Linked DNA regions of Nothobranchius furzeri. The protein of the gene in region 3 interacts with the protein of the main gene of each other region in a biochemical or structural test. Links are inferred from orthologs where the notes say so. Each region holds a gene or a part of one and is shown on either strand. Other genes may lie near its edges. The genes, in order: runx1, irf1b, stub1, insrb and hsf1.

Region 1 (6,294 bases), on a different chromosome or scaffold from region 3:
CTCTCTCTCTCTCTCTCTCTCTCTCTCTCTCTCTCTCTCTCTCTCTCTCTCTCTCTCTCTCGCTCTCTCTCTCTCTCGCTCTCTCTCTCTCTCTCTCGCTCTCTCGCTCAATCACACACGCACACACACACACACACACACACACACACACACACACACACACACACACACACACACACACACACACACACACACACACACACACACACACACACACACACACACATTACATCATATAAACAGTAGAGGGCAGTAAGGGATCTAATTCAAGGAACTTCTGAAAGTCAAAGAGCTAAATAAGTTGTTTCTATAGTTTTTAAATTACATTATTCTAACATCAGTTAACAAACAATTTAAATAATTTATTTAAATCATAAAAGATTTAGGATGCTCCAGGTGTTTATTACACTTCAACTCCGTGCTAATCAGTTAAATGATGAGAAATGGCCCGCACTTCCATAGCGCCTTTCAGATTAAGAGGACTCCAAAGCGCTTTACACCGATGAGCTACAGTGTAGCCACAGCGTTTTTAGCCCCGTTGACTCACATTCATTTTTTCGTTCTTCCGGGGACCCATGAGCCACCCGGAAAGGGAGGAGACTTAGCCTCCCTATATCTTGTTATTTACAAATCTCCCCATCACACTGTTTAGAACCTGCTTATTTATTTTATTGTATTTATTTATTCTTCATTTAACAGGAAGGTCTTTTTGAGATTAAAAATCATTTTCAAGGGAGTCCAAGAGGAAGCAAAATATACAGTCACAAAATTTCTGTTACGCATTTAAACTTCATGAAAGTGTTGAACCAAAATGCAGAAAAATAAAAACAAGAGTGACTCATACTGGTTTGAAAACAGACTAGAACAGTGTGAATCACAGAGCTAGTAAAACATCTGGATGGAATCAGAAAAAGCTATTTTTAAAAATGAATTTTAACAGTAATTTATGTCACATCCAAATGCTGTCAGAGGACATTTAGTTAAAGGCCACTTTGCCTCTGCTTCTAGCTCCTCATAGCCAAGTGTGTGTGTGTGTGTGTGTGTGGGGGGGGGGGGGGGGGGGGGGGTTTAAAATGTAAACACCTCATCTCTCATCGTGACTTGAGTTGGACATATCCTTTTGGAAATCGTTCGGTTCCTCGTCACCAGAATCTACACTTTTCTTGGTTATCTGCAGAAAATCTGTGATTATTTTCTAACCAGTAAAGAAAAGAAAAAGTGACAGAATGTTATTCTGATATATTCCTCTGTTGTTCATCTCATCCTTTCTGACTTCCTCACAGATCTAAACAGAACAGACGCTGCGAGCTACATAATCATGTAGGTAAAGAAACAGACTTGTGATGAGAAAGGAACAAGGAGAAGAGTTAGGTTTCACTCATCCAGCATTTCCCACAGACTGACCTGTAACCTGAGCTTTCATCCTCCTCCTCTCCAATGATCCTCCAGATATCAATCAGGATTTACATCAATAGATGAACTTCTTCCACAAGAGTCCTTCACCGCAGGCCTGAGAGCTTGAGGGACCTTCTAAATGCACCTTTCCAGCAGCAACACTCAGCTTTACTCGGATGGGTTTGGTTCAGTTGGATTGCATTTCCCAACAGTCACTGATTGGCTAGGGAGCTGAGTGATTGGTTCTGCCTGCTGCTGTTTCTGGGTTCAGAGTCTGTCAAAACCCATCCGACTGAGCTGAATGTTCAGCATCACCGCCACTGGCCCACAGACTGGTCACATGGTGCCCTTAATTTAATTTTGTGGCTCATCCCATCAACGACTGTGGGACAAGGGTGGCAATCCGCTTTGTCACTAAAGGTGTTCGAGTGAGGGTGGGCACCTGGTGCCCCACCCACAGTGTGTGATGTGTGTGGGTGGAGTGACGGCGCCGCTTACAGATCACGTAATGCATTTGTGTCGGGTAAAACTTGAGAGTTCCACAGGTGCTAGTTTGGGTGGTCACAACTCTAAGTGCTCTAATGACCTCTGGTCCTACTCAGGTCCTAACGCTCCACAACCTCTAGTTCTTCTCTCATCCTTTGGTGTTTCTGCATCTTCTCATGTCTTTTACCCCGATGTTCTAGTCACTTGGGTTCTCCGAATCTTTCACCGCCACTTATTCTGCAGATTGTAGACCACCATGATTTCCACTTGGTTAGCCATTGCCTGTTTGTCAGACTGGATCCACTCATGGTGGAGAATCCCACTCTGACTATAGAACCTTTAACCCAGATTAGACTCAGATTTTCCTTTACACTGTTCTAGCCACTCGGTTATGGTGTCCCATTGCCTACATCTTACATCCTGCTATTATCTGCTGGACTGTCTCAGGGTCATCTCTGAATTGTCTCCATGGTCCTATCTGCTGTTGCTCTTCAGCTAAGGGCTTGCTCTGATGCTGTCATGAATAGACTCTCTGTTGTCTTTGTTTTGCCACTGGTAGGATTTTCAGACGTCAACCACTTCCGCTACAACCTTGGACACAAAGTGTGACATTTTTCTTCAAGATCTTTTTTTCAAAACTCTTTTATTTTAGTTCCAAAGTCAAAATTTCTACACGTTGTTGACCTTAAATTCCTTAAGATTCCTCTTGCTTTATGGGTATTGAGCGCTATGGCTTGTGAGCTTTATCATACAGCTAAATATCTATTGGATCTTTAGGTACCAACTTAGCGTAATGTTCTCTGTGATGGTGCAGGTAGGAACGGTCCTAGCAGAAGTTCAACAGCATTTTCATCGCTTGATAAGGGGTGGGGTTCTAACTTGGTAACATGGAAGACATCCAAGCTGGTTTGGCATTTACGTCTCTTAATCATTCAAAAATTGCGGAAAGCATCCTTGGCCAATATTTTAGTCCTTGATCTCAAATAAAATAGCTTTATTCATGACAATTACAGTAACTCCCATAATTAATCATGTCAGAGCTCTGTCACATTAATGCAAATAAGTGATTGCTGGCCACGCCCACCCATCCATGAATGGCTGCTATGAAGTGAGGAGCTCTGATATACGGGAGGGGCTTCAAGAAGAGCCGCTGTTCCACCTTGCCCAGAATGGAAGCCTCCCTAAGTGTGGACCAGTGAGGTAAGGGGTGGTGGTGGTGGTGTAAATTTATTATATTTTATAAGCCTTTTTCATAAGACAGACATGCCGGCATGGCGTTGCGCGAATTTTGCGGCATTCATTCCGCCTCGCTTGGTAGTAATACTGCGGTAATGGTCTGTCGTATGCGCCCTGGCGCAACAGAGGCAGGTGTCATGATGACGTGGGGAGTTACTGCTGAGTTCCGGCTGGCAAATTTATTGAAAATGAAAGTAAACCCAGGCAATAAGGTTTGCTTTTTGAACAAAATCAGCTGAGATGGCAAACTGGAGCGCCGCAGCGCTCCATGAGCCTCTCTGTTAGAGCTGAAGCTCAGATCACCAGAGACTGCACAGGGACTGATGGGGACAGACACCTTTGGGAGCTGCTTGTTAAAAAAAAGTAACGATCACGGCTTCAATCGCAATAAAAAGCAAGTTATGTCCAAGATAAACGGAAGTGTGCGGACCGCTCCATACACCCTTTATGCTGCCATCATCTAATCTTTTATAAAATTGCCACGATTGCGCCACATTACCGCCATGGTCTGATCTTATAAACGACCTGTATCCTCCTCAGGGAGCCGCGGCAAATCCCGTTTTACAAACGCTCTGGTCCTGTAAAAACAGCCATAGAGTCAGCAGAGACCTACATGGAAGCCAAATGGGACTTCTGCATGATATGTCCCTTTCACAAGTATTTACAGACTGCTCTTTAACAAATAAAACGTTTCATATCAAAGGGAATGTTTGCACTGGTTCAGGACAAACGTATTCCCTGGTGTTTTGTTGGATCTGCTTTGGCAGAAAAACCCTAGAAAAAGCACTTAGCACAAAAACAAGATGCTTGGAGGCCTACCGCTACAGCTAGGTCTCAATACGCATGCCCAGAGACAGTTTCTGACACTGGTTGTAGGGTGTGAGCACACATGGAGCATCATATTGAAAATGTTCAAATGTTTACTAAAACAGCTGCTTTGAGTGGAAATAACAGAGCATGTGGCACCTCTAAAGGTTTCGGATCCAGCCTGACACACAACTAGTTTGATACCCCAAATCTGTAAGATGTAGATGATGGATGGATGGATGGATGGATAAATGGACAGACAGATGGATGGATGGATGATCCTGCCCCCAGGATAGTCTGAAACAAAATGCGTCAAGAGATTGTAAGTTTAATTTAATGATAGGACAACCATCGTAGAGGTAATCGCACACAATACATGATGCATTTAATACATGGACCATTGGAACCACTGGTTTTTAGGAACCAGTAACAGGCTTATGCAATACCCATGCTAACTGAATCCATCATGATAAGCGATCACCCATGACAGCCCTGAGAAAACACTATGACCCATAAAACTCTACCAAGGACAACAAAACACCAGCAATGCTCTTACTTTTGCTTATACACCCAACTACTGGATAAACCCGCATCTGGGCAGACCTTTAAACTACCAGATATCTGTGATGTGAAACTCGAGATCAGACAAAATACCAACAAGTGGAATATGACATGCTTTTCATTGAGTATTTGATTTAGTTAAAAACGTGATGTGTGATGGTAAAGACTAGAAGGTGCAAAAAAAAAAAAAAGCAAGCTTTACCGAAGAGTCCGGTGCCCGTCTGCCCTTTCCTCATCAGGTACACGGCCCAGGACAGGGGGCCAGTACTGGTGAAAACCCCAGGGTTCATAGTGGAATCCTGGGTGCAGACACAGCCGTGACCTCCCAACACCACGAACAACAACTAGCAAACAAAAATAAACAGCAAAGGCATTAACTGAACAATTATTAAAAAAAAAAACGTTTTATCTTCTAAAATTCCAGGAAAAAAATTGATTAGTAACAAAGCTGCAAAAGCGAACAGATTCGTTTCAGCTGGTCCTCACCTTCACAACCTGCTTTTATACCCTCCCTCTCATCTCCTCACCCACTCGTTTTGTGTCCTTTTACCTCACCCCTCATATTAGTAAAAACCAGAAAGACCGTGGAGTATAAAGTGCGAGGAAGGGGAGGAGGGAAAGAGCCAGTCAAGCTTAATTCATGCCTCCCTTCTCTAAAGCGTAGCCACAGGGGACGGAGCTCCACTTTGCCCTCAGGCTCTTTAAACCTGCTAATTTAATTTAGCTACTCAAATGATTTTCTCCATTTTTTCTCTTAGCCTCACTTCTTTTCTGTCACTATCTTTATTTCAAACTATTTTGACATTACAATAAAACAAAACATCAACAAAAAAAGCTTGATTTGGATGGGTTTGTCTTTAGTGTACCCCTGCTTAAATTACACCTCTGGTCTCAGCTTCTCTGTTGACATTTTATTCAAGTTTAACTTGAGACAAAAGAACAAGGAAGGGTGCACAACTTGTCAACAATTTAGTCTCAGAAAGTTGGTTTATTTGTTTGTTTAATTGTCTAATCTGTAAATTGTTTTCTTAATTTGTTAGAGTTTTCTTTTTTTCCTTATTTATTCAATGTATTAGCACATCAACACTCTTAAAATTAGATTTAGTTTGTTAGGAAGAATAAAGAAAATGATGTGAATAAAATGTAAACATAAAAAATTCAACAAATGCATCTAATATAGAGCAAAAATAATAAAAACTATAGAGTATCAATGTACTAGAAATTTTCCAACTTAAAACTTCGTATTTGATATGCAAGCTGTAAGACCAGTACGAAGTTTGATTGATTAAATTTGTCAGTAAAATGCAATGAAGTTTAGACAGTTCAGAGGTTAGAGCGCACAACACTAATTAAAGTTTTCAATTAAATTTGATTTTATTTACAAAGCGCCAAAGCCCGACAAGAGTCGTCTCAAGGCACTTCACATAGTAAACATTCCAATACAGGTCAGTTCATTAAGCCAATCAGTAAAAAGTTTCCTTTATAAGGAACCCAGCAGGTTGCATCGTGTCAGAGTCTTTACAGCAATCCTCATACTAAGCAATCATGCAGTGACAGTGGAGAGGAAAACTCCTTTTTAACAGGAAGAAACCTCCAGAGGATCCTGGCTCAGTAAAAGCAGCCATCCACCACGACTCACTGGGGATTGAGAAGACAGAGCAGACACACACACACACACGCACGCACACACACACACACACACACACACACACACACACACACACACACACACACACACACACACACACACACACACACACACACACACACACAAAGTAGTGTTTCTATGGTTACATTGTGATTTCTTAG
Region 2 (6,192 bases), on a different chromosome or scaffold from region 3:
AGGTAAATCCTTTGGCGCAAATCCCTCATTTCATAATCTGGTTGCATCAGTAACGAGCCAACGTGTTTTCAGACTTCATTTTTACCTTTTATTACAAAAAACTACAAACACAACTATATACAGAAACACCTTGGAGATGGGTTTTGGGCAAACATCAAGAAGTGCGTTCACCGTATTTTGACGGATTCATGAAGACATTGGAAAAATGCGATGTTTTGATTTGACACCAACTCCTTCACAAATGCTTAGAGCAGCTGGCATTTGTGATCAGTGCCAGCCTAAGTGCACTCGAGGTAGGCGAACCTCACCTTTATTACTGGTTACAGTTAATAATACAATGCCCTGTCAGAACTCCACAAACTGTACAATTTTACAACACAGAAAATTTACATGAACGTTGTTTTGAACCAGTCAAAAACAAAGACGACAAACAGTGTTCTTCAGAACTTCACATAGTGGCCGAGAGACGGGAGTGGCTCCGTACGGAACCACGAAAAAGGAGTTAGCTTAATGAGTCGAGACCAAAGAGACTGTGACTTGACTTAAGGGGTTTGGTCCCAGATTAGGAGGTGGGGTGGACAAGCAGAGCTTCATAATAGTCCAAAGTGTCAAAGCACTGTCCTGTTAGTTCAATCTGAATCTATTGGCAAAAGCTGTTCCAGAAGACATCTGTGGGTGATGTGAAGTCTGTGCCCAGAGTTGTGTACTGGGGTGTGTCATCTACTTCTTCTCCTGCAAACACAAGGACCAAAGGTGAGAACAAGTACCAGGATTTTAGTAATAATTTTAACCTACGGTAATCGTCTATCTAGACTGGTATTTACCTGAGGATGACTCACTCCACTGGCTTCCTGGACTCGTGCATGCTTCATTGCTCAGGAATCCCATGTTGCCTGCATTGTACATCCCCAGTGAGTCTTTCTCCAATTGCTGGCAAATCTGTAAGAGCAACACCAGATTGAGTACTTTTGTCCAACTGGAGTTTTTCCACAACATCAAGTAGCTTTTTTTTAATTAAGCCTTATAATTTTAGTTATTCTAAAACAAGCCAAACAGGCCAAAAAAGACAAACATGGGTATTCATGTCAATGAAAACTGCATGTGTTTAAAAAAAATAGGAGCTGAGAGCTGTGCTTACCTCAATGATGTCCTGAGGATAGTCGTAATCTGGAAGGTCGCAGCAAAGAAACAGGGAGAGAAGAAAAAGCAAATGAGTCTAATGTTTGCTGTATTAGGCAATTTCTTCATCTTTATTCAGAGATTAAATCTGTCATCTTACCAGGGCTGTGTTCAGGGGAAACCTCAAATCTGTGAGGAAAGCTGCTTGGTAGGTCGTCCAACGAGATTTCGACTGAATTCGACCAATCAGGGACCTCTGACGGAGCCGTGAAGGAGAAATCTGCAACAGGATTGATGAAGATTTTAGATCAAGTCACTCAAATATTTTTTTAGGACTTTCAAATAACATTTTGGTTTTGCTCACCTTCCTGGTCCATCTGTACCATGCTGTCGACTCTGTTTTCCTGAGTGGAGATGTTTTCTTCAAACAAGGATGTGTTCAGTGGCGACTGAGTGTCACTGTAGTCTGTGTCTTCCTCCATATTGACATTCTGTCTCTGCTGAAGCAAAAAAAAAAACAACCTCATCAGCGAGTTTTACGTAACAAAACGTAAGAAAATGTGAGCTAATCCCATGTAGACACTATTTACATGTCTTTATCTAGAGGGTGACATCATTTCAATAGAAATATATTTACCTTCTTTTTTGACTTTGTGTCCCTCGCTTTGCTTCGTTTGTCTGTGCAGGGAGAAGGAAAAACCTGGTGAGTTAAAGCTTGGCTCTGAGAGTGCAGAAGGAGTCCGAGTTTAGCTGCCGTGTCTCACCTCTGCATTTGGGAGTAGCAGGCAGCATTCTGAAGACGCGCATGGCTTGGTGGCCTTTATTGATGCTCCTGTCTTTCACCTCCTCAATATCAGGCAGGGAGTTCATCGCACAGCGGAAGTTGGCTTTCCATGTTTTGGGATCCATGGGCTGGCCGTGCACATATTTGCCTGAAAGCAAAAAGCAAAGCGGTTAAGCTTTAACTTTTTTTCCTTGATAACCTGTTTTTTTTTTCTTTAATGAGTTGGCGTGCCAGATCCTGCCTGCTCACCTGTGTGAATGGCCCATTTTTGGAACAGACAGGCATCTTTGTCTAATTCCCAACCGTGTCGAGCTGCATGCTTCCAAGGAATGGAAAACATTGTCTTGTCCTGAAATGCCCCGCAGACAGGCTGGATTAGGAGACGGATTTGTTGTGAAATTAAAATACAAGAACAAAGTTTAACTCATCCAAAGGTATAATTCTGCTTTTTTCCCCCTCCATCATGCAAACCTGATGATTTGCGTATCAAATGCATTGCTGATGCGGAAGAATAAAAGCATGCAACTTTTACACATTTAGTGAATGTATCACTTGCATGTTAAGCATTTGGGGACTAAATGTGTTTTTATGCCAAATTTCCATTTTCACTATTGCTAAAAGTTGTTTTTTTAACTTTATTCCTCTTTCAGAAACGTGCAAACAAGTGACGTGAGGGAAAATGCATGCTTCATGTAGTCTTTGCAGAGCAGGAAGCTATTCCATGTGCTCCAAATTGGTAGTGAATCACACAAAGCATTGCAAGACACTCACCTTGTCCACCCAGGCCAGTCCAGGGATGGAGTTGGACTCGATCATCTTCTCCAGCCATGGCCTCATCCTCATCCTTTGCACTGGCATGTTGACCTAAAACGTGCAGCAAACGAGGGAAAGATTGGGATAAGTGACGAATCGGGTGCTTGATCCTGTACAGTGAGCAACAGCACTCCCACATCCGCCTGTGCTTAGATTTATAGCTGCCTACTGGCCGCGCGGAAGGGTGAGGAGGAGTTCACCAGGACGCGAAAGGCGCGCACGGTGGGGGTGGTTACGCGTAGGAGTTAGGAGGTTCCAACGGACCAAAAATTACAAAAAAAAAATAAAAACACACACACTTCAATGCCCGAAAAATATGTTTAACACTACAAAAACTGTCGAAAGTAGCCCACTGTTTATTAAAAATAATAATATGATGCTGTTAATAAATAAACTAGGATTTAAAAGGTTGTAGCTGTGCGAGATGACAACTCGCTCCTCCACCAGCGCGGCTCAGTGTATGGCATGCATCTTTATCCTATAAATTCCCATAGTCAACAAAAGTTCCAAAACGGGGAGAAAAACGTGCAAATTTGGAAAACAACTAAAATAACAACATGATAAAAAGGCAAAACAAAATGAAAGCGTTTCAAAAGTTACCAAATGCGTCCGGTAAAAAAGATGAAAACACGTACGGTGTTTATTTCTCTGCAATCCAAGATGATAGTGGTGTGTGCGAGAATAATCCGAGCGGCTTGAGTTTGCTGTTGTTAAGTTTCTCCTCGTTCTTGTGAGTTATCCTGCAGGATATCTTTGGTGAAGTGAGCTGACTGCTGCATGGGCATCTTTTTATAAGTAGCAGCGGGTATTTCCTTGAACAGCCGAAGGGAGGCGTGTGCACGCTGGAAGAAATATCCGCATGAAAAAAACTAAAACAATGAAAGATCCTGCAGCTTTTATTCATGTGGGTGTATTTTTATATGAAGTATTTTCTAATTATTTCATACTAGTTTAACTAAAATATGGTGATTTCTATTTTTAAAGAGATTGCATATTCTAACAAGAGGCATAAAGAAAAGCTTTAAATCACTCATCTACCCTTAAAACAAACGAATTTAAACAGAAGTGACGATTGCAAAAACTTAAACATATTATAATCTTACGTGTGCACGTGGTTACTTCTGTTTAGATAAAGAAAATATACCTTAAAGATGCAAAATCAACATACTTGACAGTTATTTTGTTCACACTTTTTCCAGCAGTACGCGCATGCGTAAACCAGTCTTTTGGATACAGCAGCCGAGCCGTTTCCGAGAAATCATGCAGTTGAGAGCAAGGAGGAAGTTTACAACTGTCTGCAATGGCTTCATTACAGCGGTGGGCACGTAGTCCAAAGCATGAAGACCTGCTGATGTAATTCATTGCAAATGATTTGAATTTTGCAAAAGTCCACATTTTTGTTGGGATTGTCAAAGATAGCACATTTATTTTTACTCAAATACACACATGCGCGCGCACACACACACACACACACTCAGAAAAATCATCTTCTAAAATAATGTTTAAATATTGGATTTTTTGCACGAAACATCAAAAAAACTACCATTTCAGATAAAGGACTAGTTTGAATGCCTGCAAAGGGCATAAATAGGTCACACGCGCGCACATTCCCCCGCTCTGTGTCAAAGATCATCTGACAGCCTGGCATGTGCACTATACGAGCCTTCAGCCGGCGCTCGAGAAGCAGGGGCATTTACAAGAAATGGTGTAGTAATTTCTATTCGCCGCTAGGGGCAGAGTGGTAACGCAAGCTCCTGCACTCAGAGTTATGTGGAAATAGTTATGCGGGCTTATTCAGCAAAGCTTCTCACATCACCAAGCGTGTCTGACACAACTCGCATGTGGTAGGGAGGGGAATAAAGATTTGAAAATTCCACAGGAATTTTTACTATTATTATTATTATTATTTTACACAATTAGAGTATGAGAGAGACTTTGGGAAGCCCCATAAATGCCTTGTCACATCTATTCAACCCTGCTGTTGATTAAGGGGCTTCCCGGTGGTGGTGGTGGTGGTGGTGGTGGTGGTGGTGTGTGTGTGTGTGTGTGTGTGTGTGTGTGTGTGTGTGTGTGTGTGTGTGGGGGGGGGTGGGGGGGGGTGGGGGGGGGGGGTGGCACGTTTCCAGCGCGCGTCTGCTCAAGGAGGAGGGAAGCGCAGGGAGTTTTCGCGTGGAGTTTTCACCGGCAGCAGCAGGCTGTGGGATTTCCCAGTGAAGAAAGGATTTTTGAAGCCGTGAGGAACAGCATTCCTAATTTAGGATGTTTATAACCTCCTTGTCTTGATGCTGTGCGGATCATGGGAAATCACTGGAGCTGTGGCATTTTCAGTTCAATAAAACTTTTGGTTTTTAGGGTAAAATAACCTATAAATGCTGAAGATTGTATAAAATAATGCAATTTATGAGAAAATACCAATGTTTTTTATCATTATTAATAGATTTTAGTACTAAATTAAACCTTATATGTAATAAATCTCATTCAGTGATTATCCCTGCCTTTTATTTCCACACAAAAAGAAATGTCTCACTTGTCAGTGGTTATTGATGCACTTTATACCTAAAATGAAACACCATATTTTATACAAACTGTAATCATTTATGCATCTTCCTTGCTCGTTTTCACCTCTTATCAATGGGCTTTAATCACACTGACAGATTCCTTGCTAATGCATTTTCCAAGCACAAGGTGTCAGTGAATCTGAATATTTAGGCCACTTGAAAGGATAAAACGGCAAACTGAGGATTTGGCATGAGGAAAGCTGCTTTAGGATCCATCTGCTTTGACAGCTCGGTGACAGCGACTGGATCAGGTCAGAGGCCTCAGACATGAGCCGTGCAGATATGCATGACCTCGTACAGGTGAAGGGGCTGCAGGTGGGTGTCATGTTCTGTGTCCCTTTGTTCCCCAGCCCCTCCAGTTCCCACTCCAGGTTCTCCTTTTGTGTTTCATAGCGCCCTCATGTGTCCTTTGTCTGTGTCTCATTTATGTGTCTCTTTGTGTTCCTCATTTGTCCCCTGGTCTTCAGCCTTCCAAATATGTCTCTCAGGTCCTGTGTTCCTTTCGTCTTCTCCAGTCACCCCTCTGCAGCCAGTCATCCCTCTGCAGTGTTTATAGTTTCAGCTTTTCATTTTATTAGTCTCTTATATGTTTTGTCCCACCAGTCTTTGTAGTTCTCCTTCCCTTTAGAATATTAGTTATGTGGTTGCTTTTCTTGTTTTTAGTTTTTTTCTAAGGTCATGTGAGTTCCCTCCCTGATTAAGTATTGCTATCACCTGGTCCTCTCCCCACACACCTGCAGCTCATCTGCCTCCCATCATGCCCCATTTTATTTAAGCCCTGTCTTGTCTCAGTGTCTTTTCGGTGGCGGTAATGCACCATTCGTTGTTTGCCAACCGCCAATAAAACACCAGAAGAAGAAGAAGAAGTGTCTTGTCGGTCCATTGTTGTTTGTTCAGTGTTGTTTGGTGCTCTGTGTG
Region 3 (6,300 bases):
AGGAAACTCTAAACAATCAGGGTTTCTATACAATTAGATGATTTATTCTGGTCTAACAGGGTCCAGGTCATCAACAAGCTGCTGCTTAGCAACCACACTGATGTCACTTCCTCCTAAAAAGCCTCAACGATCATCCTAATACGATATTAAGCAAACACATAACAGATTGATACATCTTATTCTAATTTCAAGGCCAGTTCCATCCTCCCTTATACGACTACAACCTCAATATAAACAACCAGCTCTGGCAAGAAACTTGGCAAACAGCAAGTAACAGTCGTCATAGAAACAGCTTGCGCTAAAATTAAAACAACCATCTTATTTCATGCGATCTCATCTGTCAGTGAAGTTACTGAGGTTGTATAAAAATAAAATAACCGCAAAAGATAGACTTAAATAAAACAGATCTCAAGTCAGATCTGAAGAATCAAGTATATTTGCTGCTCTTATGCCAACTACAAAAATGGGGGAGGGGGGGGGGGGAGACACACACTGTTTCTCTGTTAGATTATTTAAAGTATTTAAATATGAATTAAATGAAATAAACAACAAAAAATTAACAACTTGTCAACTCACTTTTCTTTTCTCGTCCACTTGGGAGAACAGCTCGTCCATGTCCATTAAATACTTGTCCTTAGCAGGTCACGTTTACATGTAATGAAAATGTCCCAAAATTAACATCAACGCATATTTTGGTCAGTAAAAAGTGTGAAAATCAGGGCAAAACCCAACGTGTTTTGATGAAATCTTTGCTGCATCTCCTCCGCTTTGATTGTCATCCTGTTTTTCTCTGTATTCTTCAAGTTCTCTATGAAAAATAGTAAACGCCACGTTATATCACTAAATCTAAACCACCTGGAGCACAGCGTGCCAGAATGTATTTCAGAAAAATCCCATCTGACCTCTCCTTCTCAGCCAGGATGAGTTTGGTCAGGTAGGCGTGCAGCTCGTTCTCCTGGTTGATGCGCTTCTCCTCGATGCTGTTCCAACGTTTTTTCTTGGCGATGCGTAACGCACTGGGGATGTCGTCTCCAAAGTTCAGCCTCTGCTCTTTTGCCAGGTTATACGCTATAAACAAATAAATAAGTCACATTAGTTAAAACTTGGAAGTTTGGAAAACGGTCAAAAAGAACATCTAAACAGTCTTTAAATCAATTTTCTATCAATTCCATGCTGCTGCAGAAGAGCTGGTGCTGTGGCTGCTTAACAATTTCCCAACGCTCTGAAATGGTAGGTTAGGTTGTAGTTAGAAGATAGAGATTTTGCACCTGCAGCTACACATGACCAAGCTTTCTCTATCATTATGACGCAGACTGGAGACACTGACTCAGTCCATCAGCACCCACCAGGTAACCAGCCTCTGATTGCTCTGGTTTGGCCTGTAAACTATACATTTATAATAGAAAGCATAAATCTGACCCTCGTGTTGTGTTATGGTTTTAGACTTATCCATGAGTTTTGAAGTCAGCCGGTATCCAGCATGTTTTAGTTGTTTCCCTGCTCCAACACATCTGATTTCACTCAGCAGGTGATTAACAGGCTTCTGAAGACCTTGATGAGCTGCTGATTAAGTGTGTTGGAGCAGGGACACAGCTAAAACGTGCTGGATACCGGCACTCCAGAACCAGGATTGGACTCCGCTGCTTTAGTAAAAAAAAACAAATAACTGTTGCACATTGGGTTTAATGCTCTGTGTGATCTGCTTGTTTGAAGAACTTGTCTGGAGACTTGTCAGCAACATTCAAAGATATAAATGAGTAAAACACACGGACTGAACAGTGTGAGTCTGTCAGCCAGCAGCACTTAAACATCAGCTTTCTGGTATTTAAAATAGGCAGAAATTACTGGAGATTGTATTACAACATTTAAGGGTCATGTTGAACTGTGAAAAAAACGGACTTTTCTGAAATGTTACACAACAAGTCATTAATTTATCTACACAACATTGATGTAGACATGGAATAGAACTTTTAAAGATTGCTGAAGACAATGGGGACGAGAAAACAACTACATAAAAGGATGACAATACAAAAACTTCAATCTAAAAGGAATTATGAAAGAAAAATGAAGGAACTTGTGAGACGAACTTTTCCCCCCAAATGACGCAAAACTCAGCCATGTTTACATCCTCTTTAAGGACTTCCTCAAACCTTTCTGCAGGTTTCCAATAGCCTCGTCGTAGTTCTCCAGCTCCAGGTGACACTGACCCAGGAAGAAGTGTGCCTTAACGGACTGGCTGTCCAGCTCCAGAGCATGCTTGCAGTCAGCCAGAGCCTTGTCATACTGCTGCAGCTTTACATGGCAGAGGGCCCTGTTGGTGTAGTATACAGCCACTGATGGATTACGGTTCTGTGGGACAAAATAAACCAGAAAGTGTGTTAATGAATTATCTGTAATCAGAAACATTTGTATTCTTCCAGCTTAGATGACTTAAGACTCAGACATCCTTAGTGCCACTCACAATAGCTTTGCTGTAGCAGGTTGCAGCCTCCTGGTACTTGCGGCAGAGGAACAGCCTGTTCCCCTGCTCCTTCAACTCCTGCGCGGTGGAACTCTTCTCCGGGCTGCCGGCCATCTTCTCCACCGGCTCCGCGGGGCCCGCCTCGCCCTGCTTCCCAATCCTGTTCCCCGTCTCTTCGGCTGGCCAGACGTCAGAGTTCAAAATGACCAGTCCGTCCTGGATCGCGCTCTACAGAGCAGACACCACAGGGTTTACTGCACTGCAGCTGCAATGCGCGTCTTTTAGGTGCAATGCTGCTCGATGCCACCCAAAAGGTTTGATTTGCTGACTGCGCGCACTGCCGCTGAAAAACACAGCTAGGTGCCTAGACTGAATTAACTATTCATATGACGGACATCGGCGTGGGCTGCAATCTGCAATGAGCACCGCTTTGAGTATTAAGTCAGGGTAACTTTACACCAGAGGTAGCCGAAAGGTGACGACCGACACCTCCAAACAGATCACTCGCTTGCGCAGGAACAGTTGGAGGCTAGCTGCTGTGGAAGAAAATGTTCTCAGACGAAAAAATTCACAACTTTAGTGAGACCAGAGATCGCTGCTATGCCTAGTAAGCTAGGCTACGTGGTCGGTTTTCACCGGGGGTTGCTAAAGGATTCCGCTCATTCAGCTCTAGTTAAACTCACTGAATTCATCAAATGAACAATAAATGCCACGTTTGATCCCAAACTATTCTCAGCCGGACACTGTCGTTAATAATATAGTACACCAAGACCCGGCTAAGCGATAAGTAAAAAAATCTTTAGCTAATGCTAAAATTAGCCTGTTAGCCCAAAGCCTCCCCTGTTTCTGGTTTAAACTGAGTTCGTTGTTAAAGCCTACCGTTTCCAACTCTTACCTTTAATGATAAATCTTACATCCAGATGATTGTGACTTCATTTATTTTGATATACAGTCTTTAAGTATTGATTTTCCCCGTACGAGCTCTCATGACAAGTTGTTGTTATGCTGACGTAAAGGGCTTTTTTACGTTACTCCAACGGAAGCCGAAAGGACACAATTAGTGCGATGAAATAAAAAGCAAATAACTGAAACTATGTATCAGTTATTACCTCCTAATCTTTCATTTAGAATAAAACAAAAAATGTTTTATGTATAGAAAGACTTACCAACAATTTCATTTGTTTGTGAAATGCAGTAAATAACGTTTAGTATTTTGAGTATACTTTATTTTATTAAATAATTGTCTTAATTATTATTTTGTAGCTATTTAAACACCATTTTTAAGTATCATTTATTTTTGTACATTTACGTGTTAATACGTAACATTTAGACAAATTTATTAAGATGGCATGTGAGTTATTTAGTCATTATTTTTTATCACATGTAGACATAGATTCAAGCTATTCAAAAGTATTAGTAATTCCAAAACACATTTTACATATTCATACATAATAGGTTTTGAGGTCAACTATTAATTGACAATAAAGGTAAAAAAACGTGTGCATCTACTGTTGTACTGAACATCTTTTTATATTTTTTAATTATCTTTATTTACTAATTTAGCATTAAATCAAATAGTTATGTACAAATCCTAATGCAGTGGTTTCAAATTCATATTCAGGTAGGATGCTATGTCAGAGTGTCAGAAAATGCAATAATCCTACCAAAATAAAATGTGGATTACATTCATATACCCTTTGATGGCAACTTTGTACAAATCTGTTAAAACGTGGATCATTTATCAACATTCCTTTCAGGATTCTCCTGGCATGTTGATCAATGATGAATGATCAAACAGACTCACATATTCTTGTTATGAAATGATATCCAGGATCTTTGTTTGCTGCTGTTATTTTGGTAGACTTGTTTTTTTGTTTTGTTTACATATTTAAGTCGAAGCCAACATTCTCTTTGTGGATTTCAAAGTTTAACTTAAACTTTATTTAAATTAGAGTCTGTGTGTCAAATTAAAATTTTTATTATCTTATAATACCATAAAGCAAAGCAAAGCACACACACACACACACACACACACACACACACACACACACACACACACACACACACACACACACACACACACACACACACACACACACACACACACACACAAATTACTTTTTTTTTAATCACGGCTTGTCCTACTTTGATCTGAAGCTTCACCAGCAGAGGGCGCTCTGTGCTGCAAAATTACTTGAACATCAAAATTGAAAACGTCTAACTGTGTAGAGACCTGCAACAGCAGAGAAGGACAACAGGTCTCTATTAACTTATTTCATGGATGCCAAGATCTTTTGAGGCTTCAGTGATGTAAACTTTTGAATAATTAAATCAAAATATTAAGATTGGTCCTAATATTCACAAACGCACCTCTAACCCTTTGCCAAAGTAGTAGAAGTCTGTTAGAAACAGGTCATCACTTTGTTCAGTCGTGGATGACATCTTCAGGGAGGGGTTGGGTAATGTTCAAGACTTTATCATAAAGTATCTCAGAGACATCCCACCCACAGGGAGACCTACAGACGACCTTTATAACTAAGATCTTTCAAGTTTAGCAACAGAGAAACTAGCAAGACAATGATTTTGGACAGGGTCACTTTCATCCCAGCCTGTGTGAAGATTAGGACACATCCCCAGAGCAAACACACATATAGATGTGTTAAAGAGGGGGGGTCCAACTGAGCTGCAGACCTAGCAGCAGTGAGTGTCCCCAGCTGTGTTTACCGATCTCCACCAGCTTGGTGTGTTGATCCTCCAGAACACCCACCAGCTCAACTAATCTGTAAGTCTGAGGAATGCTAAAGCCTTCTGTGGCATCTATAGGGTGGGTGCAATATAAAACACATATTAAGCTGCTAGGATAAACAGTCCTTTTAAGGATGATGGGAAAATTGTTTCATGCAAATTATCACCTTAGCAGAGGACTCTTTGGGATGCTTGCACATCTCTGGCATGTTTTTCATTTGGTTTAGTTCAATTGTTTTGTGTTTCATTAGTGATCAGAAACACAAGATGCTGCACTTTCCTGAAAATGTATGGATCGAAGAATTCAAATAGTGGACTGAAAGTTTATGTTCCGCAACATTGGAGGAACTTTTTATTAGAACAGAATAGACTTTATTAATCCCAGTAGGGAAAATCACTCGTTACAGCAGCACATACGCTTGGAGAGGAGGAAGAAAGCTATTATTGTAATCTTCAACCGCTAAAAACAACAAATAAAGAATGATCGAAGGATTAGAATTAGTAAAAGTGATTAGAAAAGTGTTTCAGAATCATTCTTCAGCTGTTTTTCTCTTCAGAGAGATGTGCAAAAAGAAGAGATTGGGGTTGTTTGGGGTAAGTTTCATTTTTAAACGTTTTTACCAACTGCTTACATTTAAATGCTGGACTCCTCCTGTCCACCATCACAACCGCCATCCTCCTCTGTCCTCTATCAAACCCAACGGCTGCACCAGCTGGCTGAGCTTCCAGTAACCAAGGCAACCAGGCTAGGAAGTTTCTTGACTCCGTTGGCAGGGCTAAAAAGCTGCCACTTCCTGATGGAGCCTTGTCTTTCTTTCTGCCAGTGTAGTTGTTTTTTTTTTTTCTTTTGGCAGCGTATTTCACTGTTTAGTGCCAAGTCAGAATAAGAGAACACACTCTTCTTCAAACCTCTGGTTCAAATGAGGAAGTCAAAAGCAGGAACTCTCCACCGCGGTGGCTTTTTGTCTGATGGATTTGCTCATTTTGAAAACGGGAAAGTCTGAGAGATTTAAAAAATGCTGTTTTGAGTGGATTTGAATCAGACATTCTCTAAAGAGGAAGAAGAAAACTTCCACCTGCAAAGCTGATAAATG
Region 4 (6,274 bases), on a different chromosome or scaffold from region 3:
GGGAGAAAAAAGGAAAAGGAGGAGAGCAACCAACAGCTCTGCCCCTTTCAGGGGCCTCTTTTCTGTCTGCATATATGACCTGTGTAAAGTAGCCAGATCATTTCCTCTTAACCCACACTGGGAGCAACTTTTGAGAAATGCTCCCCCACCCCCAAAAGTAAATTAAAGACCAGAGCAGGCAAACGGGGCATCAGGGGTTTCCTTAAAGGTGATTTATCATGTTGGGTCACTTCAGACTTGTCTACCTGCTCACTCGCTCTGAAATGAGATCATGCGCTGAAACACTTCACAGACTTGTGCAACACAACATCCACAGCACTGAAAACAAATCTCACAAGGAGACATGTGGGCTAAAGGTTACACCAGTCACTGACAAGCAAAAAGAGCATTCGTTTATATAGAAACTGTAATTAGGGCTGCTCAATTAATCGAATTTTAATCACGATTACGATCTGAGTTTTGAACGATTATAAAAAACAAAACAAGCCGATTATTTGCTCCTCCCGCTTGCGCTGCCCTGAGTTGCAAATGAAGCGCTCCTCCCACAGTGTTGCCAACTTAGTGACTTTGGCGCTATTTCTAGCAGCTTTTCAGACCCCATTCTTGACTTTTTAACTTAAAAGTACCTAGCGAACACCTTCAGAAACATCTCTGGTAACCCTTAGCTACTTTCTGGATAACTGTCGTCGACATTTCATGCAGGTTAGCTAAACACTCCGCCTGCGCTCCAGACCGTTCTTCAGGACATTAGGAAAGGGAATGATGTAGTGATGTGTCAGTCGCTAAAGAAACGGCTCTCGGAGCCGGCTCCTTGTTGGATTAGCCAGAGTGAGTGACACACACATCGCACCTGCGGACTCCTGAGCCACTAAAAACGGCTAAATGTGCGTGTGCGGCGCGCTAAACACACATGCAGCTTGCCCCGATTGCTGTGAGACCGGGTTGGGGGGTGGGGGGGTGCAGCTGTGGTTGGGACAATTATTACATTAACTGATGGACTTGTAAATAAATAGTTTATAAATAAGGTAGAAATAAGTTCCTCACGCTGATAAATAATAACTCATCTCTCTGAGGACCCGGTGCTAGTGCACTCTCCTACAGCACCGTGACACGACTAAATACGTATTATGCAATATTTTGTGAACATCAATTTATTTGCATTTATTTGTTATAAATGCCACTGTATAATTCTTGCTGTCAGTATTTGCAAGATATTGGTATTTGGGTCTGTACTGGTTAGACTTAAATGAGTTAAACCAAGGTCTATAGCCCTTGGGTCATAGACTATGAGCTATAAGTATATTGGTCTTTTTATACTGGGAATCGGGAGTTATTTTAGTGATCATCTTGTTTCTTATTTATTTTTGTCCTGATTGTGCCCTGAGCAGTTTTATGACTGAATAAAAACAAATGAAATCAACATAAATTGAAAAACCGTCCTAAATAATCGTGATCTCAATTTCAGTCACCATAATCGTGATTATTATTTTTGCCATAATCGAGCAGCCCTAACTGTAATTCAGTTTTAACAAGTCTGATTTATTCAAGATGCGTAAACTGAGAAAGGTTTCCTCTCGTCCTACATCGATCAGATTATTGTAAATTACAACAACGATAACACCTTATTTAAAATGTAAAATGTATACATGACATTGACTTGTGAAGGTTACTTTTTAACAGTTTCCTACAGATTTCCAGTGTGATTACAATTCTCCTGGTACTGGTTTTAGTCACCTCTTATTAGCTTTCAAGGAGACAAACCTTGTATTTTTGAAGATATTTTTAACAGTTTTCTACACTTTCTGAAGATCTTTCAATTTTTCTGAGACCTGGGTTGCTGCTCTCATTTGACATGTCATGACAGCAGATCGTGTAGAAATTTAGAATTTGAGTGGGGGTCAAAATAAGTCGTGTTGACCTAAAAAAAACTACAGCAAATAAACACCAATCAATGTTGTGTCTTTGAATTTTTTAAACTATCGATTGAAAAATTAAAACAGCAGCACAGATGCATCATCTTTCTAAAGAGATGGGAAAAGTGTTATTTTTTGCTAAACTGCTCACCTCTTCAGTTTACCAAATATTCTGAATGAAATAATAAGAACCAACTGTAAAAAGAAAAAAAATTGCATGTGCCTTGAGAAAAACTTTAATTTGTTTATCAAAAAGGTCCGAGTCCTGGGTAGCAAAACATTAAATTGTGGTAAATTGGAAATATAACTTTCCTCTGTCAACTTAAGTTCAGATTTCATGAAACCTAAACAAAAGCCTGGTGTAAACAAAGCTGTCGCTTGTGATCGTTATTCCGCTGGTGTTGTTCAGACAGAGCGGGATTAATCTCCTCGATCTGCAAACGCAGCTGAGCTGTTTACAAGTCGGCTATATCTATCCACTGATGAAAGCTGCAGACGTCTGGAGAGGACGACCTCTTTGCTTTAGCCCGATCTGGTGCTACAGAGCAGCCTGGACTCATCCGCCGCCTGTGAGGAGGCTTTTTAGCGTCGGGGGATAATTTGTTTACACCCTGGCTGCTGCAGCGCACCGCGCGTGCATGAGTGTGCGTGGCCAGGAGAGGCCTCTCTGGACTCACACAAGGCCGATCCTGCTGCCCCAGTTCGGGCTCACTGCCACGGACCACCCCGGTCCAGCATCCTGCCCTCCGGCTGGCGCACCGAGCGCAGGCCGCTAAAATACACACGAGACTGTGCACGAGGGCGGGGAGACGCTCCACCGTAACCTCACAGGATTATCAATTACAACAGCTGAAATTACTAGCCTCACAATTAAAGCTGCGCATGTCTGAGCATGCGCCAAAACGTAGGCGAGTCTCGTGACACGAAAACAACAAATAATCGGGAATTCAATCAGGTTTCTAGAAGGACCTCGTTGCTTATTCTAATAAAATAACACACTTTAAAACTAAATCGTAACATGTAAATGACACAATAGCGTCTTATGCTTTGCTCATTTTGTTTGTAAACATGCAAATAATCATGATAAACTAAAATTGAGCGTTTCAAAATAAGGCAGAAAGGTGCAGAAGACGAGCAACAGAGCCACATTTAAAATAAAATTAAATGGGAAACTTACTTTCTCCAGTTATTAGTCCACAATGGCATATAATGCAGGTGCAGATGATAAAAAACACCATTTGCGACCGCAGTTTTGGCGTTAACCGCCTCATTTTGGACTTTGTGTGCTCCTCTTTCAGAAACTCCAACGTTGAGTTAAAATGTTTTATTTCTGGGTGGATATTAAAAAAGGCAAGAAATAATGAAAGTCCAATTGGATTAAAATGCCTTTTCCAAAAATAATAATAATAAACAAAATTAAATCCAGGCCACTAAATAATGTGATCTTGGGTTCTGGTCACACAAGTGCGTGTAAAAACCATTTTCCACAAGTGAAGGTGACAGTCCATGTTCCTCTGTCTGAAGTTCCGTTTAAGTCGAGAGAAAACAGCCTGGAGGTCCAGTTGTAAGGTCCACTTAGCTTTGACTTGTTTTGTTTTTGCACAGATGCTCGAGTCTTCTGCTCCTCCCGCAGACACGAGCTGAAAGTTGCGGATCAACTGGATCGCTCCTTCGTGAAGTTCTCGCTCCCTCCTTTTTAAGACCGATGAGAGAATTACATCCCAGGAAACTCTGCGGCAGGAAAAACGTGCAGCTTTCCTCCGACACACCGACCTTCCTCTGAACCCCGTTCACCCCCGCTGACCACCACGCCACTAACGCATCAGAACCGAACAGGAGAAGGGGAACCAACTTCGGGGGTTGAACGGTACCCTTTTCCCCAGATGCACAAAGAGAGGGGGGAAATATCAAATAACATCCGTGTTGAACCCGCACGTATCCGTTAAGTGGAGAACTCTCCACGCATGCTGCCGCCCGTCGCTTTTCTCAGATTAGCTGTTGGGGGGAAACAGCTAACGCTAGCAGGCTAATCCAAAACAAACCAGGTTTCAGCATCGGAGTTAAAATAATAAAAACACGCTCACAAAGTGAGTATCCCGTATAGTGAAATAAAAAGATGAGGTAAAAAAGAACTTAAAAAGGTGGGTCAAGTGTTAAAAACTTGTATTCCCGTAGCGTTTCGATAGAGACGGCTCTCTCCCCCAGGTTCCCCCGTTCCTTCTCTCTTTCTGCGAGTCTCTCCAGCAGTAAACAAGTCCTGCCAGTCACCTCAGCTGGGCCACACTCGGTCTGCGGGAAAACCCGGAACACACGGCCGCCTGCTCCTGCTGCACCGGGAACCGGATCCGGAGCGGCTCCGGCAGCATGGATAACAGACCAGGCAAATACGAGTCCAGCTATTTATTGTGTCAAAATGAAGCATTACCATTTAATCTTAAACACTAAAACTAGAGGGTTGTTTGGAAATTCAACTTAAAAGGTGACAGTAATGTATGAGACAGACTGATTTCATGCAAATCCAGATATCTTAAGCCTTTCTTTGTTGTAAATGTGATGATTATGGCTCACAGCTCAAGAAAACTCCTCATTCTAAATCTCAGACGATTGGAACATTGTGAAGTTTCAATATTCTACACTCAAGGTCTCTAATCAGGTAATGAATCCAAACCACCTGCAAAGGGTACCTGAGCCTTTAGGTGGTCTCTCAGTCTAAGATGGATTACTGAAATAAACTTGACTTTTGCACCATATTCTAATTGTTCAAGTTCCACCAATATGTTGCACCAATGTATCCCCACGTCATTAAAACTGATTACCTTTGAACTGTGCGCTGACAACTAGTCGAATGTTATTTAAAAACCTGTTGGAAAAGAATCTGAGTTGGAAATTTGGATTTATCAGGCAATAAATGGTTTAACACCTTGCCTCAGTTTATCCAAGAGATCTCTGTTTCTGGACCATGTTTGTGTCACAATAAGTTGCATTTGTGGAAACAGCAATGAAACATCTTTGAAAATCGCTTCTGAGGTATTTCAGAGTGAGATCTGCAGCAGAATTATGTCTGTTTTATGACTGCTGCTACTGACCTTTTTGATATATTAAAGAGCAAGTCACCTCCTACCAGAGTATTACTCCACTCCCACTTCCTGTTTGAAAAATGCAACAAATGCTGTTGCCTAGCAGACAGAGAGGGCGGAGCCGCTAACAAATACACACACAGAGACTCACAACGACGCTGTGACATCATATCGTACCAGCTAAGGGTGCCTCTTAGCCATTAGCGATGGCAGATTTAAATTCAACTGCAGTGCAGAGTTTTTACCTGACAACAGCACAGTACTGACAGTTTTAGGCAGAAATTTTAAATTTAACCTAAAACGCACTAAAGTGCAAAATTATTGACTACACGTGTCTGCAGCACGATTAGACACATATTTATCTAGTTTATCAGGAAAAAAAAGTTGATCTGTGGGTGACTTTCTTTTTAATATAATGTTATGTTAGGCATTTGACAATTTAATTTTCTGTAATTCACTTTTCTTGGGGTCTTCTTGCTTCTCTCTCAAACGTTCTGTTATTATAAGAGGCATGTTAATGATCACACAACAACACACGAATGACGATGAAAAACATCTAAATAAATTTGTAGAGGAAACGATTGAAAAATTAGGTACTGCTCTGTTTGTTGTCTATACTCCCCACAGCATCTCAAATATTTCGGAAACAGTTTAGTAAAATGGTTAAAAGTGAATTATTCATCACATATCAAAAGACTTCTTTAGTTTAGTGGACAAATATTTTCAATGACAATTGCATTTTATTTATTTATTTATTTATTTATTTATTTATTTTGCTGTTTTCTTATCCAGGAAATAACAAGTAAAAATATATTTTCTATTTCATGCCCTGAAGTGAAAGTACATTTGTTGAATCTACACTCAAGAAAAATATAAACACAACACCTTTGTTTCTGCTCCGATTTTTCATGAGATGAACTTAAAGATCTAAAATTCATTGTTACAGGTGGCCTGTAGGGTGGCCTTTTATTGTGGGCACTATAAGGTACACCTGTGCATTACTCATGATGTTGGATCAGCATCTTGATGTGGCACACCTGTGAGGTGGGATGGATTATCTCAGCAAAGCACAAGTGCTCACTATCACACATTTAGACTGATTTGTGAACAATGTTTGAGAGAAATGGTAATATTGTGTATCTGGAATGAATTTTAGATCTTAAAGTCCATCTCATGAAAAATCAGAGCAGAAACAAAGGTGTTGTGTGTATATTTTTGTTGAGTGTACATAAAACATGTGAATGTGGATCAATGAACTCAAGTAGAACTTCCAAACAGGATTTA
Region 5 (6,413 bases), on a different chromosome or scaffold from region 3:
TTTTGCCTTAAGCAACCATTCAAGGTGGCTGATCTGACTGGTTCTCACTCAAGATCCGTCCAATCAGCAACTGCTTCTTCTGGGGTGGACGTGGCGACCTCTGTGATGTCAGAGATGACAGGCCCAGAGTTCAGCGGAGAGTCAGCTGAGAGGAGACCGGCTGCATTCTGGAGACACAGAACAGGCGTTTGTGTCTGAAACACTCACGGCTGAAGTTGAGAGTAGCATCATCCATTCTACCTGAATGTGCTCCAAGGTGAAAGGTCGGCTGTATTTGGGCATGGAGTGTGTAGAACTGGAATCATTAAGCATCAGAGGACTACGGCAAAGAAAAGAAAAACATGAAAATACACTGATGACTAGGGTTAAGCAGCACTAAAGTGTGTCACATCTGCAGAGTTAGGAATAAACTTGCATCTTCCGTTTGACTCCCATGATCCTGTTGGTCTGGACAAGAGACACCAGAAACTGGATCAACTGCAAAAAGACAAAGCTTATATTTAGCTGAGTTAGCAGCTACGCTAACGCTAACAGCAGGTTAATATATTTAGTTTAAAGACGTTTTTTTACATTCACAGATGTACAGATTTATTTTGCTCGTTCAGCGAGCAGCAGCATCTTCTCTTGTGCACAAACACAAATGATTTTTTTACAGCTTTGATCCAACAGCAGGACCAGTTTGTGCTACGTCTGTCTGGGTGGATGCTTTTGTACCTTGTTGACAACTTTCTGCTGCTGCACGTGTTTTTGTCTCAGGCTGGCCACTTCCCTCCACAAAGCCTCGTTCTCACTAAAACAGATAGAAAAATAAGGTGAATGTTAATATTACAGGAAAAATCTCCTCCACTTAAACTTTTCTTTTGTTAGTTCAGCTTCCTACTGTTTCATGGAGAGGATCCTGGAGTCGATGGTTTCCTGTTTTCCCTTCATCAGATGGACGTCGTTTAAGATTTTGTTGACCTCGTCTGTAGAAATTTTCACTTCCTCTTGACGGACCGATGCGACCTGCACCGGATACAGAAAGGAGGAACCATTACCAAATATATCAGATGTGTCCATTCTAACTGCACGTGTTCACAAACGTAGGGAAAAGCAAGACAGTCAGAGCTCATAGCGTTATAGACAGCTGCTCCAAAGATTTATTACAGGACTCTGTGATTATTTTAGAAAGATTTCAATACAGAAAACAAGAAAAATGTAAAATTAAATCCAACTTCAGTGTCATTGAGAGGTAGTTTTTTGGGATTTGCGGGGAGTTTATCTGTACATTAAACAGTCTGTGCTTCTGGTTAGGATGGAGATGATCTTGAATGGATTTATTTGTAATTAAGTTTCTCTCTAAAATATTAATTATTGATAATTAATGTTGTCAAAATCCTTTTGATTTTTTCTTATTAACATTTAACCAAGTCAATCAGATTTTTAGCACCTAGACAAGACTTTACCTCTAGATTACTTTGAAAGAACTAATCTGTCAAAAAGCACCAGACGTTTGATCTGAGTGCTTCTGCGTTACCATACATTTGTGACTTTTCTTTTGATGTTCTCCAGCAGGTGTTCTTGTCCTCTGATGAAGAACGGGTGCTGGAACTCTGTGTCGTCTCTCTCGGGTTTCAGCAAACCACCCTGCTCAATGTGCACCACCTTACGGAAACCATCTGGACATCAGCAGAATAGAACAAAGCAGCAGCTGGTTAAATAAATGTTCCTGATTAGTCCTGAAACTATAATAAGAGACCGCTCAACTAGAGCTGGTTTAGTTGGTTGATGACAGCTGATACTCACACATATTGAGCTGTCGGATGAAGCTTGCCATGTTGTTGTGTTTGAAGAACTTTGGTAGAACCTCTTTAGAGAAGCGAGCCTGATCAAACACATGGAAGCTGGTTCCACTCTGATATACAGAACACAGAGCAATCAGTCGTGTCAATAGAGCAATAATAACAAACAATTTAAGATTCAGTAAACAGAATTTTACAAGAAAAAATACTAGATTTTGACATTTTAACACCCGTAAATTGTGAATAAACTTTTTACCATGTCGGCACGGTGGAGAGAGGAACTGCAGCTGTCTGCAGATCAGCTTACACCGTTGACTGCAGACTGTTGCCACGGTGATCTAAACTCAACTATTGTTGTGTGAATTAGAATCAGTAGGGAAATATTCCTGCAAAGCTTTTTGCAAATTGATGTTTTATTCAGTTTTATTTGGGAAATATTGCAGTTCTTCTCTGCTTTTGCATCTGTCCCATTTTTCATAAAACAAACGTGTTTGATAATTAGTTGGTTTCTACATGTTTAAACTTATGTCTGAATCTTATCCTCAATAGCTCAGACTTTATGCCCTTTAATTTTGTCTATAGTGATTTTATTTTTAATCAAAGTAAAAAATATTTTGTCTTCTTAAACTGTGAACTCTGGATATTTGAAGGCTTTTGAGCCTTGACAAGACTTTTGGTGACCAACGTATACATTTCTGAAAGTAATAATTAAAAATATATATTATAGTAGTAAGACAGAAGGCTTTAGTAAAATGAACATTTTATAATATAGTATAGTGTGCCTTGCTGAGAGGTGCTTTGTGTGTTTTTGTTACTTGAAGCTCTTATTTTGATGAGCCACAGCAGTGATTTCAGCTAAAGAGAAGAAATAAAAGCAAAGCGTTTCCAAACTCGGGCAAATAATCACAATTTCAATAGATATACATTTCAGCAAGTTTATTAGACAGAAACTATGATTCTAATGTGATCTTTAAGCTGGATGAGCATTTGTAGAGGATTTTAGAAACCCAGTCAGTTAACTCAACTAGCAACAATATAAATTGAAAATGTATTACTGAGGAATTAAAAACTTCTGCAAAAAAACAACAACAATACCATGTTTACGGTATGGTTTGACTGTTAACGTAAAAACTGTTGTATATGAATCCACATTAGAGTTCTTAGAAAACTTGTATCAGGTTTTACAAGTCAAACATAAAAATAGGCCTTGAGTAGGTAACATGAGGTCTATGTAAGTAAATTAACTTGGTTGCTCATTTTCACTGACATAACCAACAGCAGGTCAACACCTGGTCCCCAGTATACGTCAAATTTATAACACCAGCCGAACACGAGTAACTCTCTGAGGACCTGATGGCTAAATCCAGAGCGCCAGACAGTTCTAATGTTAGCCCGTCAGAAATCCACCTGCAGCTGTTACAGCTAACTTGTGATATTACATTTTATCAATATTACAAACTAACAAAAAAAACTAATGTATTTACTCGCTTTTTAAAAACATTCTCCCTGGAGTCTTCGCTCTGATAAGAATAACGTCTCAAGTGCTCTGCGAGTAATTAGCAGTTAGCTCTGCTAGGCTAGCCTAACATGAGTACCGGGCTCCAGCAGATAAGAGGGTCGGTCTCCGGGTCTTCTACCAGGGTCCACAGCTTCGTTAAGAAGGCTGGCACGTTTCCGCCGCTCACCACCACTCCTCCGGTCACTCCACCCCCTCCGAGATATTCCATTACAATAAAAGACGATAAACGTACACTAAACTCCTGAAGCTAATGTCAATGCTAAGTCGGTTAGCCTACTGTTAACCCCATCAACTCCTAACAGACACAAAAAAGCGAATAAACTACGACACTAAACCAGATTAGGGTTCGTGGAGCATCTCGAAAAGTTAACCCCGATCTGGAGTGGTATTAGTGTCGGCTAGTCCACAGACCAATGTTCTAACTTTACTCTAAACAAACTCCGTAGTGGAAAATTCCAACAAATCCGATAATACAAACAACTGCGTAGCTGGCTGAATGGCTGTCGCTCTTTCGCAGCGTCATGACATAACGTAAAGTGAACGTTCGGTCGCGGTGTGACGTAAAGCTATATCTGGATTGTTTTTAATTTGGAATGGAAATGGCAGGGTCAAAAGCAGAGAAATACACATTTAAAATAAATATAAACTTTGTGTTTTATTTTGCATGACATGTCATTTTTCTTAGCGATAGGTTGATGTTTTAATCCCAGGTGTTTTCATTTCAAATTTAAGTGTCCTTGGGCAAGGCATTGAACTCTGCCCTCGTGGTTGTAAATTCTAGATGAGTGCCTGTTTTGAAATTTTGTTAATTTTCAGGGGCCTGATCTTGAACCTGTGGTATTTTCACACCAGATGTTGCCATACATTTATGCCGTAAACCATTTATTTGCAATTAAATATTACCTTTTACGAGCCCATTTAACGGAAGTTACTCGACCTGCGCAGAGCGCGAGGACATCCACTCTGTTTACTGCCACTGGCAGTCAGGAGGGAACGAAACAGAACCAATTTTTGGTGACACGTTATCTTTATGTTTGCACATGGATGGAGACACTCACAAATTCGATTTAATCAACACATTCAGTCATTTTTAAGAACCTAATGATAATCTGTTTAAAGTAAAAATTATTGTTGCAGTCTGATGTTTTATTGTTGTTTTACAACATTGTTATGTTATATAAATTGATTTTGATCGACATTTGTTAACTTTTGCTTTTAATTCACATCATAAACTTCATTGCAATCATACAGAAATGTTGTTTTTGGTCAGTCTGACAATACAGTTGTTGGGCTTGTTTGTTTTCAAACAGTAGTGTTGTTGATATGTTATGTCATTAGTTGACCAATTTCAAGATTAAGGTTTTCTTTTTGTGCAAATTAAAGAAAATGTTTTCTGTGGTCAAATATGGCACAGGACAGAAACATAAACGCGTATATAATTAGGAATTTATCTCTCACAGGCTTTTGGGTATTTACACAAAATATTTGTTAAGAATTTAAGTGGGTAGTTTTTTTTTGTGAACATCAATCACATTATATTGTAACAACAACCAAAACTCAACAACAACAAAAAAGAAAGAACAACTCAGTAGATAAACCAAAAACCTTTTAACTAGACCATTAGAAATATTCTAATCAGCAGAAACAACCGGATTTATAAGATTAACAAGACACAATAAAAAATTATAATAAATATTATATTAATATTAATACTACTAATAATAATACAACAACAATAATAATAATAATAATAATAATAATAATACATATTCAAAGACAGAGGACCTTAGTTCACAGGATCTTCACTAAATCCGACAAGTGTAACAGCCTGTATAGTCTTTACCTTTTTAAGAGATTTGCAAAATATAATAAAATTGTTTTGGAAAAAAGGAAAGTTTGGCTTCACTTTCATAAAACGGCATTTGTGGAAAAAAAAATTCCAAAAAATGATCAAATTGTTAACAACGAATTGAATCTGATTATTTTTTTCTATACACCCAAATTGAATAGTACTATATGTGAATAAGGGGATATTGTAACTGGTTTTGAATAAAAGCCAATTGTATAAATCTGACCAAAATGTATTTACCGATTTGCAATCATAGAAAAGGTGTTTCTGAGTTTCAATTTCACTATTACATAAGACACATAAATTATCTTGTATATTAAATCTGATATTTAAAAATTCTTTACATGGATATATATTATTAATCGTTTTAAAGTGAACTTCCTTCATTTTGGGGAGAAGAGTATAAGAAAGAAACTCTGTTCTTATGACTTTGGTATCTTTAATTGAGAGAATCGGAGAAAGAATTTTCCTTCTGACAGGAATAGGGAAAAACTTGTCTGACAAGACTGCTCTTAGGTAAGAGTTATTACATTTACGGTCTGTAAAACTCAAATCACCTATAGATAATTTAGGAAGCTTAGGTGTACTTGTTCCACGTTGAATACTTTGACTGACCATCTGGCCAACAGCTGGAGAAATAGCCTTTATAACTCTAGAGTATTCCGTTACAGAACAGTCTATATTATACTTAATTTTGAACACAGTATGCTCCAGAAACTTACCCTTACTGTCCATCAGCTGCAATATCGCCCAAACTCATTTATCCATCCAACTTTTATAATACATCGATTTCCGTTTATACAGAACAAATCTGTTATTCCATATAGAGGAGGAATGTGGGCTAAAGTTATGCGAGTAGATCATTTTCCAGTACATCAACACTTGTTTAATATAGTTAGAAAGTTTGATGGGTAATTTAAGAGGATCGAAATCACATTTTAACAGAAAATCCATACCTCCAATCTTCTCAAACAGAAATGAAGGAATACAGAACCAGATAGAATTTTTCTTAATTAAAATTTTTTTTAGCCATTGTAATTTAATAACTCCATTCATTACTTCAAAATCAATGACATTCCGACCTCCTTCTTCTATAGGTTTTACTAGATCGTTTTTCCTAATCAAATGTTGTTTATTATTCCAAATAAAGTCATATTGTGTTTTATTTATTCTCTTAACATATTGGTCAGGGATAGCTACTGAAAAAGCAGGATAGATTAAGCTAGATATACTCTCCGTTTTTGTTAAGAGTATTCTACCAAAA

The links.
Region 1: the proteins of stub1 (region 3) and runx1 form a complex in vitro, tested with the Homo sapiens proteins (3 studies listed by BioGRID, with this or other methods). The link is inferred for Nothobranchius furzeri from reciprocal best matches to the Homo sapiens genes STUB1 and RUNX1.
Region 2: of the proteins of stub1 (region 3) and irf1b, one has a biochemical effect on the other in vitro, tested with the Homo sapiens proteins (4 studies listed by BioGRID, with this or other methods). The link is inferred for Nothobranchius furzeri from reciprocal best matches to the Homo sapiens genes STUB1 and IRF1.
Region 4: the proteins of stub1 (region 3) and insrb form a complex in vitro, tested with the Homo sapiens proteins (2 studies listed by BioGRID, with this or other methods). The link is inferred for Nothobranchius furzeri from reciprocal best matches to the Homo sapiens genes STUB1 and INSR.
Region 5: the proteins of stub1 (region 3) and hsf1 form a complex in vitro, tested with the Homo sapiens proteins (2 studies listed by BioGRID, with this or other methods). The link is inferred for Nothobranchius furzeri from reciprocal best matches to the Homo sapiens genes STUB1 and HSF1.

Annotation. Positions count from the first base shown.
Region 1 is NC_091743.1:80,942,702-80,948,995, forward strand, and holds the start of runx1 (runt-related transcription factor 1), read right to left. Parts: upstream 4,952-6,294; 5' UTR 4,776-4,951; coding exon 4,688-4,775; intron 1-4,687.
Region 2 is NC_091750.1:58,828,731-58,834,922, forward strand, and holds irf1b (interferon regulatory factor 1b), read right to left. Parts: upstream 3,489-6,192; 5' UTR 3,352-3,488; exon of another isoform or gene 3,317-3,351; intron 2,768-3,316; 5' UTR 2,762-2,767; coding exon 2,675-2,761; intron 2,439-2,674; exon of another isoform or gene 2,274-2,438; coding exon 2,153-2,273; exon of another isoform or gene 2,052-2,152; coding exon 1,884-2,051; exon of another isoform or gene 1,806-1,883; intron 1,798-1,805; coding exon 1,757-1,797; intron 1,620-1,756; coding exon 1,484-1,619; intron 1,400-1,483; coding exon 1,280-1,399; intron 1,168-1,279; coding exon 1,139-1,167; intron 940-1,138; coding exon 825-939; intron 733-824; coding exon 641-732; 3' UTR 72-640; downstream 1-71. UniProt on the Homo sapiens protein: Transcriptional regulator which displays a remarkable functional diversity in the regulation of cellular responses.
Region 3 is NC_091756.1:32,259,011-32,265,310, forward strand, and holds the start of stub1 (E3 ubiquitin-protein ligase CHIP), read right to left. Parts: upstream 3,497-6,300; 5' UTR 3,357-3,496; intron 2,690-3,356; 5' UTR 2,576-2,689; coding exon 2,462-2,575; intron 2,350-2,461; coding exon 2,151-2,349; intron 1,069-2,150; coding exon 903-1,068; intron 809-902; coding exon 733-808; intron 634-732; coding exon 577-633; intron 1-576. UniProt on the Homo sapiens protein: E3 ubiquitin-protein ligase which targets misfolded chaperone substrates towards proteasomal degradation.
Region 4 is NC_091748.1:57,936,280-57,942,553, reverse strand, and holds the start of insrb (insulin receptor b), read right to left. Parts: upstream 3,415-6,274; 5' UTR 3,185-3,414; coding exon 3,091-3,184; intron 1-3,090. UniProt on the Homo sapiens protein: Receptor tyrosine kinase which mediates the pleiotropic actions of insulin.
Region 5 is NC_091759.1:9,320,610-9,327,022, forward strand, and holds the start of hsf1 (heat shock factor protein 1), read right to left. Parts: upstream 3,828-6,413; 5' UTR 3,509-3,827; coding exon 3,377-3,508; intron 1,895-3,376; coding exon 1,786-1,894; intron 1,659-1,785; coding exon 1,522-1,658; intron 1,006-1,521; coding exon 881-1,005; intron 791-880; coding exon 715-790; intron 478-714; coding exon 416-477; intron 320-415; coding exon 241-319; intron 168-240; coding exon 49-167; intron 1-48. UniProt on the Homo sapiens protein: Functions as a stress-inducible and DNA-binding transcription factor that plays a central role in the transcriptional activation of the heat shock response (HSR), leading to the expression of a large class of molecular chaperones, heat shock proteins (HSPs), that protect cells from cellular insult damage.